Linked DNA regions of Oryctolagus cuniculus. The protein of the gene in region 2 binds, or shares a complex with, the protein of the main gene of each other region. Links are inferred from orthologs where the notes say so. Each region holds a gene or a part of one and is shown on either strand. Other genes may lie near its edges.

Evidence for each region. Proteins that work in one complex are often made in the same cells at the same time.
Region 1: the proteins of PCNA (region 2) and POLD3 are in contact, whole or in part, in a crystal structure (PDB 1U76), measured with the Homo sapiens proteins. The link is inferred for Oryctolagus cuniculus from reciprocal best matches to the Homo sapiens genes PCNA and POLD3. Residues at the interface, in NP_002583.1 of Homo sapiens: Met40, His44, Val45, Ser46, Leu47, Glu124, Gln125, Leu126, Gly127, Ile128, Pro129, Thr206, Ala208, Asp232, Val233, Pro234, Tyr250, Ala252, Pro253, Lys254, Ile255, Glu256, Asp257; in NP_006582.1 of Homo sapiens: Ala453, Asn454, Arg455, Gln456, Val457, Ser458, Ile459, Thr460, Phe462, Phe463, Gln464, Arg465.
Region 3: PCNA (region 2) and DONSON share a complex: the UniProt entries of both Homo sapiens proteins name them as parts of the replisome complex. The link is inferred for Oryctolagus cuniculus from reciprocal best matches to the Homo sapiens genes PCNA and DONSON.
Region 4: the proteins of PCNA (region 2) and F-box DNA helicase 1 are in contact, whole or in part, in a crystal structure (PDB 8F5Q), measured with the Homo sapiens proteins. The link is inferred for Oryctolagus cuniculus from reciprocal best matches to the Homo sapiens genes PCNA and FBH1. Residues at the interface, in NP_002583.1 of Homo sapiens: Met40, Ser43, His44, Val45, Ser46, Leu47, Leu126, Gly127, Ile128, Pro129, Ala208, Asp232, Val233, Pro234, Tyr250, Leu251, Ala252, Pro253, Lys254, Ile255; in NP_835363.1 of Homo sapiens: Ser56, Gln57, Arg58, Cys59, Ile60, Pro61, Phe63, Phe64.

The regions. Positions count from the first base shown.
Region 1 is NC_091432.1:65,786,977-65,790,958, forward strand, and holds the start of POLD3 (DNA polymerase delta subunit 3), read left to right. Parts: upstream 1-1,173; 5' UTR 1,174-1,346; coding exon 1,347-1,406; intron 1,407-1,816; exon of another isoform or gene 1,817-2,339; intron 2,340-2,675; coding exon 2,676-2,731; intron 2,732-3,982. UniProt on the Homo sapiens protein: Accessory component of both the DNA polymerase delta complex and the DNA polymerase zeta complex.
Region 2 is NC_091442.1:30,190,194-30,194,262, forward strand, and holds the start of PCNA (proliferating cell nuclear antigen), read right to left. Parts: upstream 2,804-4,069; 5' UTR 2,564-2,803; coding exon 2,343-2,563; intron 1,498-2,342; coding exon 1,400-1,497; intron 1,249-1,399; coding exon 1,181-1,248; intron 307-1,180; coding exon 112-306; intron 1-111. UniProt on the Homo sapiens protein: Auxiliary protein of DNA polymerase delta and epsilon, is involved in the control of eukaryotic DNA replication by increasing the polymerase's processibility during elongation of the leading strand.
Region 3 is NC_091435.1:11,427,793-11,431,303, reverse strand, and holds part of DONSON (protein downstream neighbor of Son), read right to left. Parts: intron 2,561-3,511; coding exon 2,348-2,560; intron 1,919-2,347; coding exon 1,781-1,918; 3' UTR 1,773-1,780; exon of another isoform or gene 207-1,772; coding exon of another isoform or gene 1-206. Other genes in the region: protein SON, read left to right, coding at 48-206. UniProt on the Homo sapiens protein: Replisome component that maintains genome stability by protecting stalled or damaged replication forks.
Region 4 is NC_091444.1:77,494,871-77,498,978, reverse strand, and holds the start of F-box DNA helicase 1, read right to left. Parts: upstream 2,810-4,108; 5' UTR 2,622-2,809; coding exon 2,621-2,621; exon of another isoform or gene 2,063-2,620; intron 436-2,062; exon of another isoform or gene 349-435; intron 1-348. UniProt on the Homo sapiens protein: 3'-5' DNA helicase and substrate-recognition component of the SCF(FBH1) E3 ubiquitin ligase complex that plays a key role in response to stalled/damaged replication forks.

The sequences.
Region 1 (3,982 bases), on a different chromosome or scaffold from region 2:
GCTGGGAGACCATGGGAGACTGGGACTTAAATATCTCCAGGAGAGTGTGATGTAATGAGAACGGCCTCCATGTCTTAATGACTGCAGCTGTACCCTCACTACCCTGAACCGTTCCTGGCCCTTGGTAGGCTTTTGCCATCTTACAGATAAGGAACCAGATTCTGAGTGGTTAAACAACTTATAAAACTCAGTACATAAAAAATCAGACTCAAGGGGCCAGGGCTGTGGCATAGTCAGTAAAGCTGCCGCTTGCAGTGCCCGAATCCCACATGGGCATGGCTTCAAGTCCTGACTGCTCCACTATGGATCCATCTCCCTGCTAAGGTGGCTGGGTACAGCGGTGGAAGATGATGAAGATGGCCCAAGTGAAGTGACCCATGTGAGGGACCTGGAAGAAGTTTATGGCTCCTAGCTTCTGGCTTCGGCCTCGCCCAGCCCTGGCTGTTGCAACCACTTGGGAGTGAACCAGTGGATGGAAAACCTCCCCCAATCCCCGCCCCGATTCTGCCTTTCAAATAAAAAATAAAAATTTAAAAAGAAATCCAGATTCAAATCTGGAGTCCTCTAGAGCTTGATTGCTTATTCACTATGCTGGGGACCTTGGCTTATCCTAAATTTTTGGTGATACTATGAGAAATTCTCACGCAATTCCCCAACCTGAAAATTCTCCTTGTCCTCTTTAACTGAGAAGGACGTGCATGCAACCCTACACACAGCCTCCTAAGGCATGGAGTGCTGTGGCCTCGTCAGATCTCCTCTCTCCCTGGCTCCTTCTCCCCCACATTCCCGCTATTCCCGCTATCTGGAGCTTTCTCTTCCCGGCAGCCGCTCCCGCCTCTCTCAGAAACGCCCCGCCTCCTTTACCTGCTTTGAAGAACTTCTAATTCTTTAACTGTGCATTATAACAGGCAAGTATTGTATTCCAGCCGGCCCTACTCAACTTTTATCTTTATCGTCCAAAACTGTGGCCTGCCTGAATAGGTTCCAAATATTTACTGAATAAAATATCGCGAGGCAAGGATTCTTTTATCAATTCACAGATGAAAAGGCTGTGGCTCCTACAGGTGCGGTCACTCAGCGGCGGGGTGAAACCCGACACCTCCTCTCCACACACACCACACACAAACCCGCCCCAACCAATGGCTCTTACTGGCTCCACCCACTTCACCCTGCGCCGTCTCCGTGACTAGTTTGACCCCTGGGCGGCCGCCGTAGCGCGTCGCTTCGGTTGCCGTGGGAAACGACCCGGGACCTGGGAGGGAGTAAAGACGTTTCCCGCCGGCGGGAGCTGCCGCTGTGACTGAGAGGGGGTACCCCGAGCCGGCGGGGCCGATTGCTGTGGCACCATGGCGGACCAGCTGTATCTGGAAAATATAGACGAGTTCGTCACGGACCAGAACAAGATTGTGAGGAGCGAGGGCCTGGGGGAGCAGGCGTGCGACTGGGGTCCTGGGCCGAGCCAGGGCGGTGGGGGCCTGGACCCTCGTGCTTGTGGTCTCGTGGGGGACTGGCCGAGAGGGGGGACAGGTCCCCGTCACCGCGTGCTCCCGGGGCGAGCGAGGACTCGCCGGGGAGGTCTAATGGCGCGCGCGGCAGCGGGCGTTCCTCGGGTAGGCGTGTTGGGGGCTGCCCCGGGGAGAGGCCGCGGGGGTTGAGGGTCTGTCTAAGGCGTCCCTACGCCGGCTTGACCCGGCGGGTGGCGTTTCAAGCCCCAGGTTTGCCTCTGAGGAAAGTGTGCCTCAGCCGTGTTGAGGGACGGTCTGACCTCGGGTTTCCTCTTCCTGGAAATTGGAGTATTGACGGGGGCGTGACCCGCCTGGCGGGGTTGGTGTCCTGATCGGAGGGGAGGGAGGCGAATGCGCCTTGCGAGGCGTGGTAGTGAGCGCCCGCTGGGTGCCGGGGCTCTGTGGCTACGCGCTGTTGCCCGTCATCTTTGCCTCGGCCCTCCCCACCCCCACCCCCGCCCCAGGCAGGGAGTCGTATTCCTTCGGGGAACCCCGAGGCCAAAGAACGAGTTCGGTCGCTCTTAGAGAGGGCGGCGCCGTCTTCGAACCTAGGCCTGGCTCTTCCACGAGTCCTTCGAGCTCGCCCCGGCCTGTGCCTGACCTGCCCAGGTCTTTTGATTATGGCAGCTCGGCCTGTAGCGAGCTTTAGCGAGAGAGTGACAGGCGGACGGGGTGGAGGAGGGCTGCACGCTTGGTGTCAGTGGTTCCCATCTGACCCGCTGCGGTCTTCATCCCGACCCCTGCACCGCCTGTGCCCCTAGTGCTCGTCCCTGTGGCTGCAGCTTTCCTGAGCGATTTCTGCATCATACGCTTGGGAAATCATTTAGCTCCTAGGTGAGTTTTCAGGTAGTTTAGGCCGGTGGTTCCCCCACAAAGGCAGAATCTAAAGAAAGGCCTAAGTGAAACAAGGAGCAAGAGGAAAAGGAGAGCTCTTTCTTTACGTGTATTCGGACTGTCTTTGTATGAAGCAGTCTGGGGGGAAAAAAACACAAACTTTTTGTTAGTGTTTGTAAAGTAGATATCTTTATTCTGCCAGCCCAGGTAGTTCTTGACAAAACTGTGGTGGTATTGATTGCAATTGATAAGGCACAATCACACTCACTTAAGATTACTGATCTAGGCTCTGGGGGCATTTCATAAAACATTCTTGAAAATTGCTTCTTCTTGCAGGTGACGTACAAATGGCTGAGCTATACACTAGGGGTTCATGTTAACCAGGCCAAACAGTAAGTCCAATTTACTACCAATTTTAATCACATAGAGGAGGGTTTTGTTTTGTTTGTTTCTTGTTTTGCTCTTTAGATAGCTCCTAGGATAGAACTAATTTTCTTTTTTTTTCCTGAGTAAATGGAAAAAAACACTTATTTTACTACCTCATATTTTTGTCTCTTTTAGGAGACTGGTAGACTTGATAACAAAGGTGTGGTGTGATCAATTTGCTGGATTCATTTGCATCCTTGGCCTGCTGTGAACATGTTTGTTATTTCAAATTTCTTAAATGAATTAGTTCTTTTTGCATCTAAAATTTATATGTCTGTTATCTTACGTCTTCACCACATTCTCATATGTGGGCCTTAGACCCATCTCCAGATGTTACTGGAGTACTTCATAATGAGGTCAACAGGTGTTCGACGCAAGCTGTGTGACAGGGTGAGCGATTTAAGTGAAACTGGAAAGGGAGTGTTTAGGATGGTGTATGGCCTTGCCTTTCTTCAATTTAGTGCCATGTCACCTTTCCTTGCCTAAATTTGGGATCTAACCCGAGCCCAAAAGAAAAGGTGAGCTTTTGAATTCACTTCCAAGATGTGGATGATGTCTGTGACCCAGGGGAGGAATTAGTGAACTGGCTGAGGATACATATATTGGGTTAAATTCTCATTTTGTTTGTTTGATTCCTAAGGGTGGTCTGAAGTTTCTTCTGGAGTCATAGAAACCTAGAGTCATGAGAACTTCCCACAAGTCTCAGAAAATCCCTGACTTCTAGAATGGGTTGATTTGGTTTTATTGGGTTAAGCACATCTAGGAGTCTAATTTGGGGTGTGATGTTAAAGCTTTCAAAACCCAGAAACTCTTATATAGGGATGGATTTGGATTGATTTTGACTAAAATTGCGTAAGACTAGTTCTGGCCCAAACCCAAGAGCTTCAGTTAACTTTGTCAGTGGATACCTATAAGAGTTATTGTCTGTTACCATTATGGGTATTTAAATAAGAGATGAAGCACCTGTTAACCTGTTGGGGTTTAAGGATGAATAATGACTGGATTCTCTGAAAATGAAATAAAGATGTATGCAATTTTAGTGGAGGTACCCCAATTACTTGTAATTTTTATAGCATTAGCACACTAATTCCTACCTGTGTACCCAACTTTACCTATACCACTCTCTGTCTCAATTGTGATACTCTAGCCATATTTGCTTTGCTTTCCTTCAGTTATGTGAAGTCATTCTCACCACAAGAACCTGTACCTTTCTCTCT
Region 2 (4,069 bases):
AAGTAACCTGGAATGCATTTTTATTTTTACCTTTCATAATTAACCTAATTTGTTGGACATTACAATTCTCCAAAATATTTGAGAAATGCTAAATCTAACTTTACTACTTACAGCTTCCTCTTCTTTATCAACATTGCTCGTTTGTGACAACTTAATGTTTCCATTTCCCAGTTCTCCACTGGCGGAAAACTTCACCCCATCTTTTGCACAGGATATTACAACGGCATCTCCAATATGGCTGAGGTCTCGGCATATACGTGCAAATTCACCAGAAGGCATTTTTACTACACAGCTGTACTCTTGTTCCTATAAAACAAACTTAACATTAACTGCTGGAAATCTGACATCCTCACTCTTAAGCAAACGTCTAAACTCAGATCTCAGGTTTTTCTGATTTCTTTAAAACATTACTAGAGACCAGTATTGTGGCACAGCAGGTTAAACTCATTTGCAGACACAGGCAGCCCACACTGTAATGCCAGTTCAAATACAAGCTGCCCTGCTTCTGATGCAGCTTCCTGCTAATAATGTACCTGGGAAAGCAGCAAACGATGACCCAAGTGTTTGGGCCTCTTTTACCCTTGTGGGAGACCTAGAGGGAATGCCAGGTTCCTGGTTTTGGCCTGGGCCAGGCCTAGGTATTGCAGCCATTTAGGGAGTGAACTAGTGAATGGAAGATCTCTTTTCATCTGTTTGCCACTTTGCTTCTCAAATCTTTAATTAAAAACTGGTTAGTATATGACTCACACTCCAACTAAAAGTAGTATGGCATAATAATCATACAAGAACCTCTTAATGATCCTCCAGAGCCAAATCAAGAGGATATTAGGGTTTCGAACAGTAGTGATGGGGCAGACTTAAAAGTGAAAACACATTATGCATTTTACATTTTAAACATTCCCAACAGCTGTTCTCATTTAATGGTGATAAGCCCACCCTTAATTAAAAAAAAGACGCACAGAGGCTAATGCAAGTAAGCACTCCACAGCAAAAAATGAATTCACCCCACAGTCAGTTTTAGGCTGCTACAGTTTAGTAAAATGACAACTGTCATACAAATATACAAATCTTGCTTTGAAAAAAAAAAAAGAAAATCTAGATATATAGGCAGTAGGCATTAGGTTATATTAACACATCTTAAGTAACTGATGACTATGTGCAATCAGAAGCTGATACTCACTGGAATTCCAAGCTGTTCAACATCTAAGTCCATTAATTTCATTTCATAGTCTGAAACTTTCTCTTGATCTACGAAAAGAAAGCAAATGTTAAGAAAAATGTTTTATAATCATGATGTAAATTTTTACGACCATCACAAAAAATTTAAAATTCTCACAGCTGAGAATCAAGAGAGATTTTAGTTCCCTATAGCATAACTCAGTACAAGGTTATGACTTACTTGGTGCTTCAAATACTAGCGCCAAGGTGTCCGCATTATCTTCAGCCCTCAGTGTAATGATGTCTTCGTTGCCGGCACATTTTAGTATTTTGGACATGCTACAACACACAAGATACGGTTTGCAATCAACACCATCTGCTCTAAATCTAGATTCCGAGCGCAATCAGGAGCTACCATGCCCACCCCTCAGGCTGTGTGATAGACAGGTGAGGGGAAACTGGCTGGAGGCTGGGTTCAGGGGTCCAGCACCATTCAGGAAGGCAACCCGGTCCTACTAATACTTAACACCGGAACACACCAGCAATTTCAGCTCTGGGTGTAACACATAAACAGCAGTATTTTGTGCACTGTAAATCCCTCCAGTGGGTTTAGTAAATTAGTGGGCCACGACGACCGTTATTAAGTGAGCTAACAAACCTGAAACACGCCCCACGCACTAGGAGTTATTTCTCTCGAGCCTTTTAAAACTTAACCGTATACACGGACCAGACAGGGAGCAGTCAGGAAGCTGAAAGCCAATGCCCCGGGGAAATGTCCCCAGGACAAATCCAGTTTAGGATGCTCAGTGCGACCGTGTAATAAAGACCCAGAAACATCATGTGGCCCAAGAAGGGTGACACAGAGCCACACGTTGCCACGAGAGCACGTAACAACGCAGTGCGAGTCAACACGACCACAGGTTTCCCCATTCCGGGCTGCAGAGCGCTCCGCGACAGGCGTTTTCCCGCCACCACTCGCTTTTGTGACGTTGGCGCGGAAAAGAGCCGGTTCGCGCGGCGGCCAGCGCGGGCTTTTCGGAACCGCGCGCTCCCCAGGGTCCCGCCTCCCGCCGTGGCAGGCCAATGAGAAGGCGCCGGTGGCCCACCCCAGCCAATGAGGGCCCGCCTCGAAGGCGCTCCCGCCAAGAGCCGGGGATGGCGGTGGGCCAGAGCCCCGGGCTTACCTGGTGAGGTTCACGCCCATGGCCAGGTTGCGGTCGCAGCGGTACGTGTCGAAGCCCTCGGAGCGCAGGGTGAGCTGCACCAGGGAGACGTGGGACGAGTCCATGCTTTGCAGGTTCACGCCGCCCGAGCTGATGTCCCAGCAGGCCTCGTTGATGAGATCCTTGAGTGCCTCCAGCACCTTCTTCAGGATGGAGCCCTGGACCAGGCGTGCCTCAAACATGGTGGCGGGGTCGCAGTGTCGCGGCTGCAGGCGAGTAAAGGAGAAAGTTCTGGCTGAAACTTCTTCGCGAGGCTCAGGACGAGCGGACGAATACAGCGGCGTGTACCCAAGACCCCCCGAAAGACGACGACTGGTTCGCAGCGCCGGCTACCGTTTAATGCCGCCGCGTCTGTAAGCGCGCGCTCTCCGCCCCTGCGCCCCGTGTTAAGGCGTCACGACGCTTCCCCGCCCACCGGCTGGGCGGAAGGGATCCTGAGGACCAATCGTGTTCCTGCTCCGCGCAAAGCCCGCCCCCGAAAGGCAGTCATTGGAGGCTGCTGAAGCGGGGGCGGGGCAGGCGCACAGCGCGCCTTCGGAGGCCGACAGGGTGACGCACTGCCAGCCGCCCCGCGTTTTTCTTAGTTCCTGGGGCGGACGCCAGACATGTCTGGGCGACGAAGCACCGGGTGACCGTCGAGCTTGGTGCGCTGTGTTGGTTTCTAAGCCTCTCGCTTTGAGGGGAGAATCACTGGCTCCCAGCACACACATACCAAGATCATATAATCTCTCAACTGTTTGCTGTCTACAGTTTTCTACACTTTCTTCTATAAAAAGATATTTAAAAAGAAATACGTTCACGTTCCAACAGAGTATGTCACGAACATCTTTTCGGTATTTACTTAATAAAGGTTCCGTAACGTCCCATGTATGCGACCTAATGACCAATTCCTGTTATTAAGAACACCTTTGGGCATTTGGGTGCTTTTGTGAGTTCAACTCCCTGAAGTAGCAGTGATGAATGAAGAGTATACTCATTCAGATAAATTACTAGTTGGCTTCTAAAGATCGTGTGTGTAAGCGTGCTCATCTCCTATGTTTTCTTGACTACAGATACTGAAAGTCTCATTTTTAAATCCGTGCTCAGTTGTGTGAAAAGTTTAGTGTTACAGATCGGTATCTTTCAAATGCTTGTATTTCTTGACGATGTGTGTGTGTGTGTGTGTGTGTGTTTAAGAGTTATTTATTTGAAAGGCAGAGTTATAGAGGCAGAGGCTGAGAGAGAGGTCTTCCATCCACTGATTCATTCCCCAGATGGCCACAACGGCTGGAGCTGCGCCAATCCAAAGCCAGGAGCCAGGAGCTTCTGGGTCTCCCATGCCAGTGCAGGGGCCCAAGGACTTGGATCATCTTTTACTACCTTCTCATGCCACAGCAGAGAACTGTATCAGAAGTGGAGCAGCCAGGACTCAAACTGGCGCCCATATGGGATGCTGGCACTTTAGGCCACAGCTTTACCCCCTTTGCCACAGCTCTGGCCCCAGATAGAAGATTTTATTTTAGGGGTCAATACTGTAGCATAGTGAGTAAAGCCGCTCCATGCAGTGCTGGCATCCCATATGGGCGACCCGGCTGCTCCACTTCCGATCCAGCTTTCTGCTATGGCCTAGGAAAGCAGTGGAAGATGGCCCCAAATTCCTGGGCCCACACACACACATGGAAGACCTGGAAGAAGCTCCTGGCTCCTGG
Region 3 (3,511 bases), on a different chromosome or scaffold from region 2:
AGAAATGGAAGCCCTTACCAGCCCAATTGTATGTTTTTCTTGAATAGGTATTGATAAATGGAAGCGCTTACCAGCCCAGCTTTGCCAGCCCTAATAAGAAGCATGCTAAAGCCACAGCTGCTACTGTGGTTCTTCAAGCAATGGGCCTTGTACCAAAGGACCTCATGGCTAATGCCACTTGCTTCAGGAGTGCCTCACGTAGATAGATTGAGGTTTTATATTAATCATTTCAGATAATTTTACTCTGCATCACAATGTATTTCCTCTTTAATGTTGTAAATATTTGGCAATTTAAGACATTGTGTAAAAAGCAATCTGTACAAACATCTCCAGGCTTTGATTTTTGTACCATGGAAATTGTATTTAACCATACAGGGTTTTGGTATGTTTATATTGTTTACCTTAGTGATGTATTTGTTTAAGTGGCTAACATCCAAACAGTTGTTTGAAGGCATCAGTAATCTTCAGTGTGGAATGTTAAATAACGCTTTTATACTGTATTTTGTACTATGATGTAACTCCCCTTCCTATGGCTAGGCTGCTGTAACACTTGCCTGTAATCAGTGAAGGGCTGTGCACCTTGTACTATTTCACAATGGGTTCTGCTGGACAGATACTGGGCCAGTGTTATTGAGGTAATCAAGCAAGATCTGTTCCACAGGGCTAATGCCACCATCTCCCCTTAAAATTTTGTAGAGGTTATAAAAAGAAAAGTGGTATGTTGTGTGATGACCAGCACTAAGTCCTGCATTCCCGTTAAAGCCACTTGGGTCATAAGAGTGGAGGAAGTCTGACTAGAATTCTGCAGAGGCCAAGTATGTTTAGTATGGCATTGAGTTGTGATATAGTTTTACTTTGATGTGCATTTTGAATTTCAGCTACACCTAGATAGATGTAAAATGATAATTACAATGCTGTAACCAACTTATCTAATAAAATTGGCAACCAGCCACTATTTTGTTGACTATGAGAAAGTTTATGTTAATTTTTAGGGTCTGATAGAGTATTTCATGTGTATTACAGTGGTATTCATATGCTATGTCTCTAAACTTTATTTTCAAAAGCTTAAGGCCCAAATACAAACTTCTCTGGAACAAACGTGGTGGTTTATTTTCTGGATTATAAAGTAAACACATACTTCTTCACTAAATGCTGTTATTTCTTTACCCAATGCTTTCGATTTCTAAGCACTTTTATTTAAATTTGAAGCACACATACACACAAACACCTACGAGCACATTGAAGAGTGCTACATGGCAGCTAAGCATGTTTTACAACGCTCATCACTATTCTGTATGGCATACAAACTGCCCTTTTGTCTGGATTGACATGCATTAAAACATTTTTTGAGTGTATTTAAAAATAGAATTAGAAATCAGTAGCAAAAAGTGCTAAAGCAGAAGCATCAAGAATCAGCTCAGTAGTTACTATCTACATTTATTTCTACAAGAACTCTCTAACAGAGATTTATGAAAGTAGTATTTTTGCACTGATGCCATTAGTCACAGTGGGAATAGTTGCTACAGGTTTAGTCTTTCTCATTACTCAGTTTTTAAGAATTTTCAGTGTTTTGAAAAAAGTTTAACTTATGTTCAATATCTGGAAACCTAACTTTAAAATAAAAAGTTGACTCAAAACCTTAATGCTACTGCTCAGTGCATGTAATAAAAGTTAATATTCAACTTGCAAAATGAACTTTTAAGGCCAAAGACAAGAATCTTGAATTTCCTTGCTAGGAGGTTTTTTTCCTCAAAGATTCCTTTTAGGCTTACTTTGGTGTTCAGGATCTCCAATTATAAACGTAGTCACTCATTTCCACATTCCGTAAAGATGATTTCCCCAGTAACGGTATTTGACTGAGTTGGTCCAGAGTCTTAGGATGCAACCCACAGTTAGCAAGCTCTTTGTGTACCACCTCCTGTGGAAATTTGCATACAAGTCAGTAAAAAACACATTAGTTTTGAACATTCATACTAACACATTCAGCTCAACAGAAGTTGATCCTAGGAGATTTTGCAGCGGTGTTTTAAGTCTAGCAAGCTGATAGGCATCAGGCAATAGAGGGAGGCCTTGATTACAATCTCAACAAAACTTATTTTCAAGACAAGGCAAATATGGTTAAGTAGTCATGTTTCTATATCCTGAAGGAATCAGGCACTAAGTTTTGGATCTAAGAGCTGTAAAGTTCTTCAGTTACTGTCACTAGTACAAAAGGCTAAATTCATAAGATATGACACAAAAACAAGAGATATGCCTTCTGACCAGTTCATAACACAGTTTCTGTGGCTCATCAGAAGTGACTTCCCTGAGAGCTGGTCGGGGAAACGGTTCACACCTGTCGCCTCACCTTATCCAGTACATTATCCATAGGCAGGCATATATTAAATACAGTAGTTGGCTCATGTGGATAGAGTCCTGCCGAGAAGGACCCGCTTTGTGAAGACTGGAGCAGCGTGGTGACGGAATGCACACAATGAGGCAGGATAGGACCTGTAATCTCCAAACTAAACTGATCTTTGTATCCAGAAGGAGCTTGGCTCTTCACATTCACACTTCGTGCCTTCATGGAAATGTAAAGAAAAAGAAAAATCACCATCCCTGTTGCAAAACTGTTCAGTCATTTCCATCTGGGCCTCATATCCAAAGGCACAGAACAAAAGTAGTTATCACAACGTCACAATGACGTGCGTGAGAACTAGTGACAGTGACAGCTCAGTGCCACCATGGTCCTCACATGAGGGTTCTGGCTGAAGTGTATTCTAGAGAATGACTTTTTTCTTACAACAGTCATCTTCAAACATTCATGAGAAATGATATTTTTTTCAGTTCTGCTAAAACCGAGTATCCATGTATGCTCAACACAGAATATTGAGAGAAAACACACTCCACACATCTATTGCTATTAACTTAGTATGTATATTTATGTGTAGACTTATCATTTGATAAGGATATACAATTATTTTTACTTATGAATGAGTAGACCTTGAGCTCTGTAGCAACATTCTTGGCTATGTCCTCAATGGTAAAAGTGAAACAAAATGAGATGCTTCCATAAACAAAAAAAGGAAATAATGCTTTTGCTGCATAATAATAAGAAACCATTTTAAATAATTTGTATTTTAAATTTCTTTCATGTACCACAAAAGTATTTATTTTTACCAAGATAAAAAGTAAAAATTAGTAGTCTCTTATTCCTTTGAAAAGAAAATTGTGTATTTCAGGTAAAGAGAGCAACAAAAATCTTCCACCTGCTGGTTCACCTCTACAAATGCCCTGAAACCAGGCGTTGGGAACTCAGTCCAGCTAGGGCAGGCACTAGACACAGCACTTAAGACAGCGCAATTGTAGTGTCTTGTTCAAGTCTGGCTCTGCTCCTCAGTCCAGCTTCCTGCTAATGTGCATCCTGTGAGGTAGTAGGTGATGGTTCAAGTACCTGCAAACCATGTGGGTGATCTTTATGGAATGTCTGGCACCTGGCCTCAGCCTGGTTCATCCCTGGCTGTTGTGGGCA
Region 4 (4,108 bases), on a different chromosome or scaffold from region 2:
AGGCTTTATAAAGAGCTGAGCCTTGAAAAATGAATGGGATTCAGTTAGGCAGAAAAACCAATATGTGCAAAAATATGGAGAAATAACAAAGCTTTGGTGTGGCCAAAAAGGTGGGTTTTGTCAGAACACGAGGTTCCAAGATGAAGAATGATGGGAGACACATCTGGAAGAATCTGGAGCTACCACTACACAGGTCCTTAACCACACTGCTAAAGAGACTGCACTTTATCATGTAGGCCATTCAAGGTTTCACCCAGTTTTCAACAAGAGTCATTACCTAGTCATTCACAGAGGACGAACAGACATGCAAGTTGTCAGGAAGACAAGTCATAAAATCACTGTACCAACCTAGGCAAGAGTCGGTAAAGGCCGGAGAGCAACAGAAATTGGGCAGAGGGCAACTGGGCAGAGTCTCAAGAAGCCTTTCTGACAGGACTGTTAGGAGAAAAAGAAAGAGCAGAAGAGATAACATATTTCTATTATAAGAATAAAAGAGAAACAGTGTTGTTTTAATTGCTCTTTTCTGGAGTGAGCGGGATGCTAATTATTTTTCCTGTTTTAAAGATATCTATGGAATATTAGGTTAAGCTCCAGGAAGTATTATGAAATAGCAGACTGGTCTTCAAAAGGCAGGTGAATGATAGATGAAGACGTAAGGTTTGTGATGCTTTGGTAATAGACAAATTTCTAGAAGTAATTTCACAACCAGAACAGTAAAACTGAATCCAAGTTCAGCTTCCAAATACAAATCAGCCTATAAGGGATACAGAAATGTAGTAAGCAGAGCAAATGTTGGCAACAAATCTGAAATTGGAATTCTAAGTCTCATGAGAGTGTTTGGTGTCTATGCACACTCACAAATCACAAAACATGTCAACCAATCAGTATTCCAGTGGCCACAGCTGAATGCTCAGGAAATGCAACATGAAAAAAAGGAAAGACATCCAGGTAACAAATCACAACACCAACCACAACGCCATGTGAAATGGACAATAAGGTCAAACCACAAAGTCCCAAAGAAAAGGGTAGTCCAACTGGGAAAAGCTCCACCTGTCTCTTCGCTTACTTGCAGATCCTCTCCCTACACCAAGCTTGTGCTCCAGGAAAACCACAGGGACTGTGTGAAGTCACATACTGAATTTTCCTGTTATCCAAAGAGGGGACACAGGCCAAAAGACGTTTATAAAGAACACAGGAGAAGCTGAATTGCATCTGGAACACCAATTAAGTAGCAAACTGTCCTACATTTTCAATATTCCATCTGACTGTCGGCCCATGTATCTCAATTTTGCTGAAAAATCAAAGGAAACTGGAGACATGAAGCAAGCAAAGGAAGGTCATTTATAATCAGAACCATGGGGGATGGACAGGAGGATTAATAGCAAAAAAAAGTATGAAGTTCCTGGATGCCTTAACTTCCAATTTGCACTGACTCCAAGAGCAAGCAGTAAGAACACTGCTTGGCATGTCCTAAGGTTTGCACATTTCAAAGCACCTTTACTCATTCCCTACTTTTGGGGAGGAGAGTTTGGGGAGTGGGTGGAGAGTGACAGGATAAATGAAACTGTAACTTTGGCAAAGCTGGTAACTAGGACTTATTCTGTCCCCAGTGACTGCACATATTATTCAGGAAGTTAACCAAACTGACTGGCTTCCTTTCACTGACCCTTACCAGAGATCTCTCTTTATTTTATCTCTGCCTATTTCTGCAGTGTCAGGCAGTAGGACACTCTGTAGATGTTACCACCTTTCCTTCCAGAAGATCTTCTTGCCCGCACTTATAATATAGAAAGAATCACTAATAGAAAGAACCACTATCCTCAAGAAGGCCCACTTCCCTCACTTGTAAAACCAGAGCGATGCTCTGCAGGATCGTTTGCGGATGAGATAATTAATGTAAAGTGCTCTGCAAACCACAGAGTGCAATATCAAATGTAAAGGGTATTTGTTTACAACCCAGGCACAAAGCAGCAACTCTCCTCTTACCCTCTAAAGGAGCTGACAACATCAAGAGGCAAACAACCACTATCCATAAGGTCAGGTAAGGAACGTCAACACCTACCCAAATCTCTTCATTCACCCATAGTCTTTTTTTTGTTTGTTTTTTAAGAGCTCAGTGTAGCCCAAAAGTTCAAGGCCTTCCCACATCACCTTAACCTTATCTTCGGACAAGGAGGGAGGAGGCTACCAAAAAAAGCAAGGGCAAACAAGGCAACAAAAAACGACTCGCCCAAGGTCAAAACATCGGAATACAAAACGAAAGCCGGGCTTGCCAACAGCTGCGGCCACGTCTACCGTGCCACCTCTTCCAGTCGCCGAGAAACGCCGAGCTACCCCTTCTGGGCCCCACGGAGCAGTGAGGGGTCGAGGGCCTGGCCCGAGCTCACGCGGAACCCCAGCCGCCCCGATGCACAGCCTGCAGCGCCCTCCACCTGCCCGCTGCCGGCCGGGGCCGCGCCCCTTCACCCAGGTTCAGCCAGGGCTTGGCCGGGCTCTCCCAGCAGACCCACTGACCCCCCACCCCGAGACCGGAACCCCAGCGCAGGACCCCCACAAGGGTAAGTTCCGCGCACGGCTGACACCCGCCCGCACTCCGTGCCACGTCCGCGGCCTCACGCACTTTGGCGCTCCGGACTGGGGCTGCCGACGCTGCCGCAGCCGCCGCCGCCGCCGGCCCCACAGCCCAGCGTCTCCAACCACCCAGCTCCTCCTCCAGGCTGGACCGTGATCTCTGACAGCCGCCGACTTCCTCCGCGAGCTCCACCCCGCAGCAGCCGAGTGTAGCATCCGCCGCCCGAGCCGACGGATCGCCTCTGGAGCCAATCGGGACGGGCAACCGGAAGGGGCGCGCTGACGGTCAGCCGCCGCTACCAATAGAAATGCGCTCCAAAGGGGGCGCGGCCGTCACTAGCGCACCACGCCTGGTCTGAGCTTCCGGTCGGGCCCCCGAGGAGAGGGGCAACTTTCCCAGAGTTCCTTAGAGCTCCGCTGGTCCCCAGGTCTGCGGGCAGGCGAGGAGGCGGAGAGTGCTGCTGAAGGGGTTGGGAGAAGGTGGAGCAATGGAACACCACCCATTCGCCTAGCGGGTCGGGCAGCGGGCTGGTTCATGCAAGCAGGAGCGGCTGCACGTCCGGGGGTCGGCCGCCCAGCAGTCATCCCTGGGCAGTTCCCTGTCAGGCAGGCTATGGTGGAAAAGGCCATGTGGGCTTGGCAGGCATCCTCGTCGCGCTTGCGGGTTTTGCGGTAGGGCGACGCCCCCATCCTCACTCTTTGACATTTTGGGTCCAACTCACAGCTGTGCAGCAAGCTCCAGGACTGAGGAGGCGCCCGGAGCCCCGACCTGGGTGCGTTCCGTGCTTTAGGGCAAGCACACTTGACAGGCAGTTGGCAGGTAGCACGCCGCAGAGCAACCCCGAGAGTGCTCACCGTCGACTGCCTGGCCCCCTGAAGAATCAGCAAGCACCCTGCGCTCTGAACTGTTTCTTCCTGGCCTTGGGCAGGAGTCAGGGTGTGAAAGCACTGGGGGCTGTAGCAGTGCTGGAGACAGAAGCTGGTGGGTGGGGGTTCTCCTGCGAGAAGAGAAAGTCCCTATCCACTCTTAGCTTTGCCCAGCCTGGTCTGCAATGACGGTCTCTTCCGGGAACCCATGGCGCCTTTGCAAGCATTTGCAGGAGGGCCGGCTGCAAGCCCAGCACGAGGAGTTGCAGGCTGCACTGTGCCGCCTACTACGGGCATTTGGACATCCTGACCCATCTGCCCCAGGCCTGAGACAAGGACATCGAGGCCAATGACCAAGACTACAAGCGGCCTCTGCACGAGGCGGTCTCTAGGGGCCACCGGGATTGAAGGGCGACTGGTAGGTGGCGAGGATCCAGAAAGACGCCCCGCCTGTCTACTGCCTGTGGAAACGTAGATTTCTGTGTACTTCATTCATCTCTTCCGACATCATTAGCTTTTCTCAGCTCCTGGTTCTCTACCCAGGCCTTCTCAATGGCAGGGTTCCCCTGCCCCAGCCTTCCCCTAAAGTGAAATTGACTTACAGCCTACTTCATTCCTGCCCGTGTGGGGTTAGCTGGCTGGTTGGGTCAATCATTTCTCCGTGTAAGGT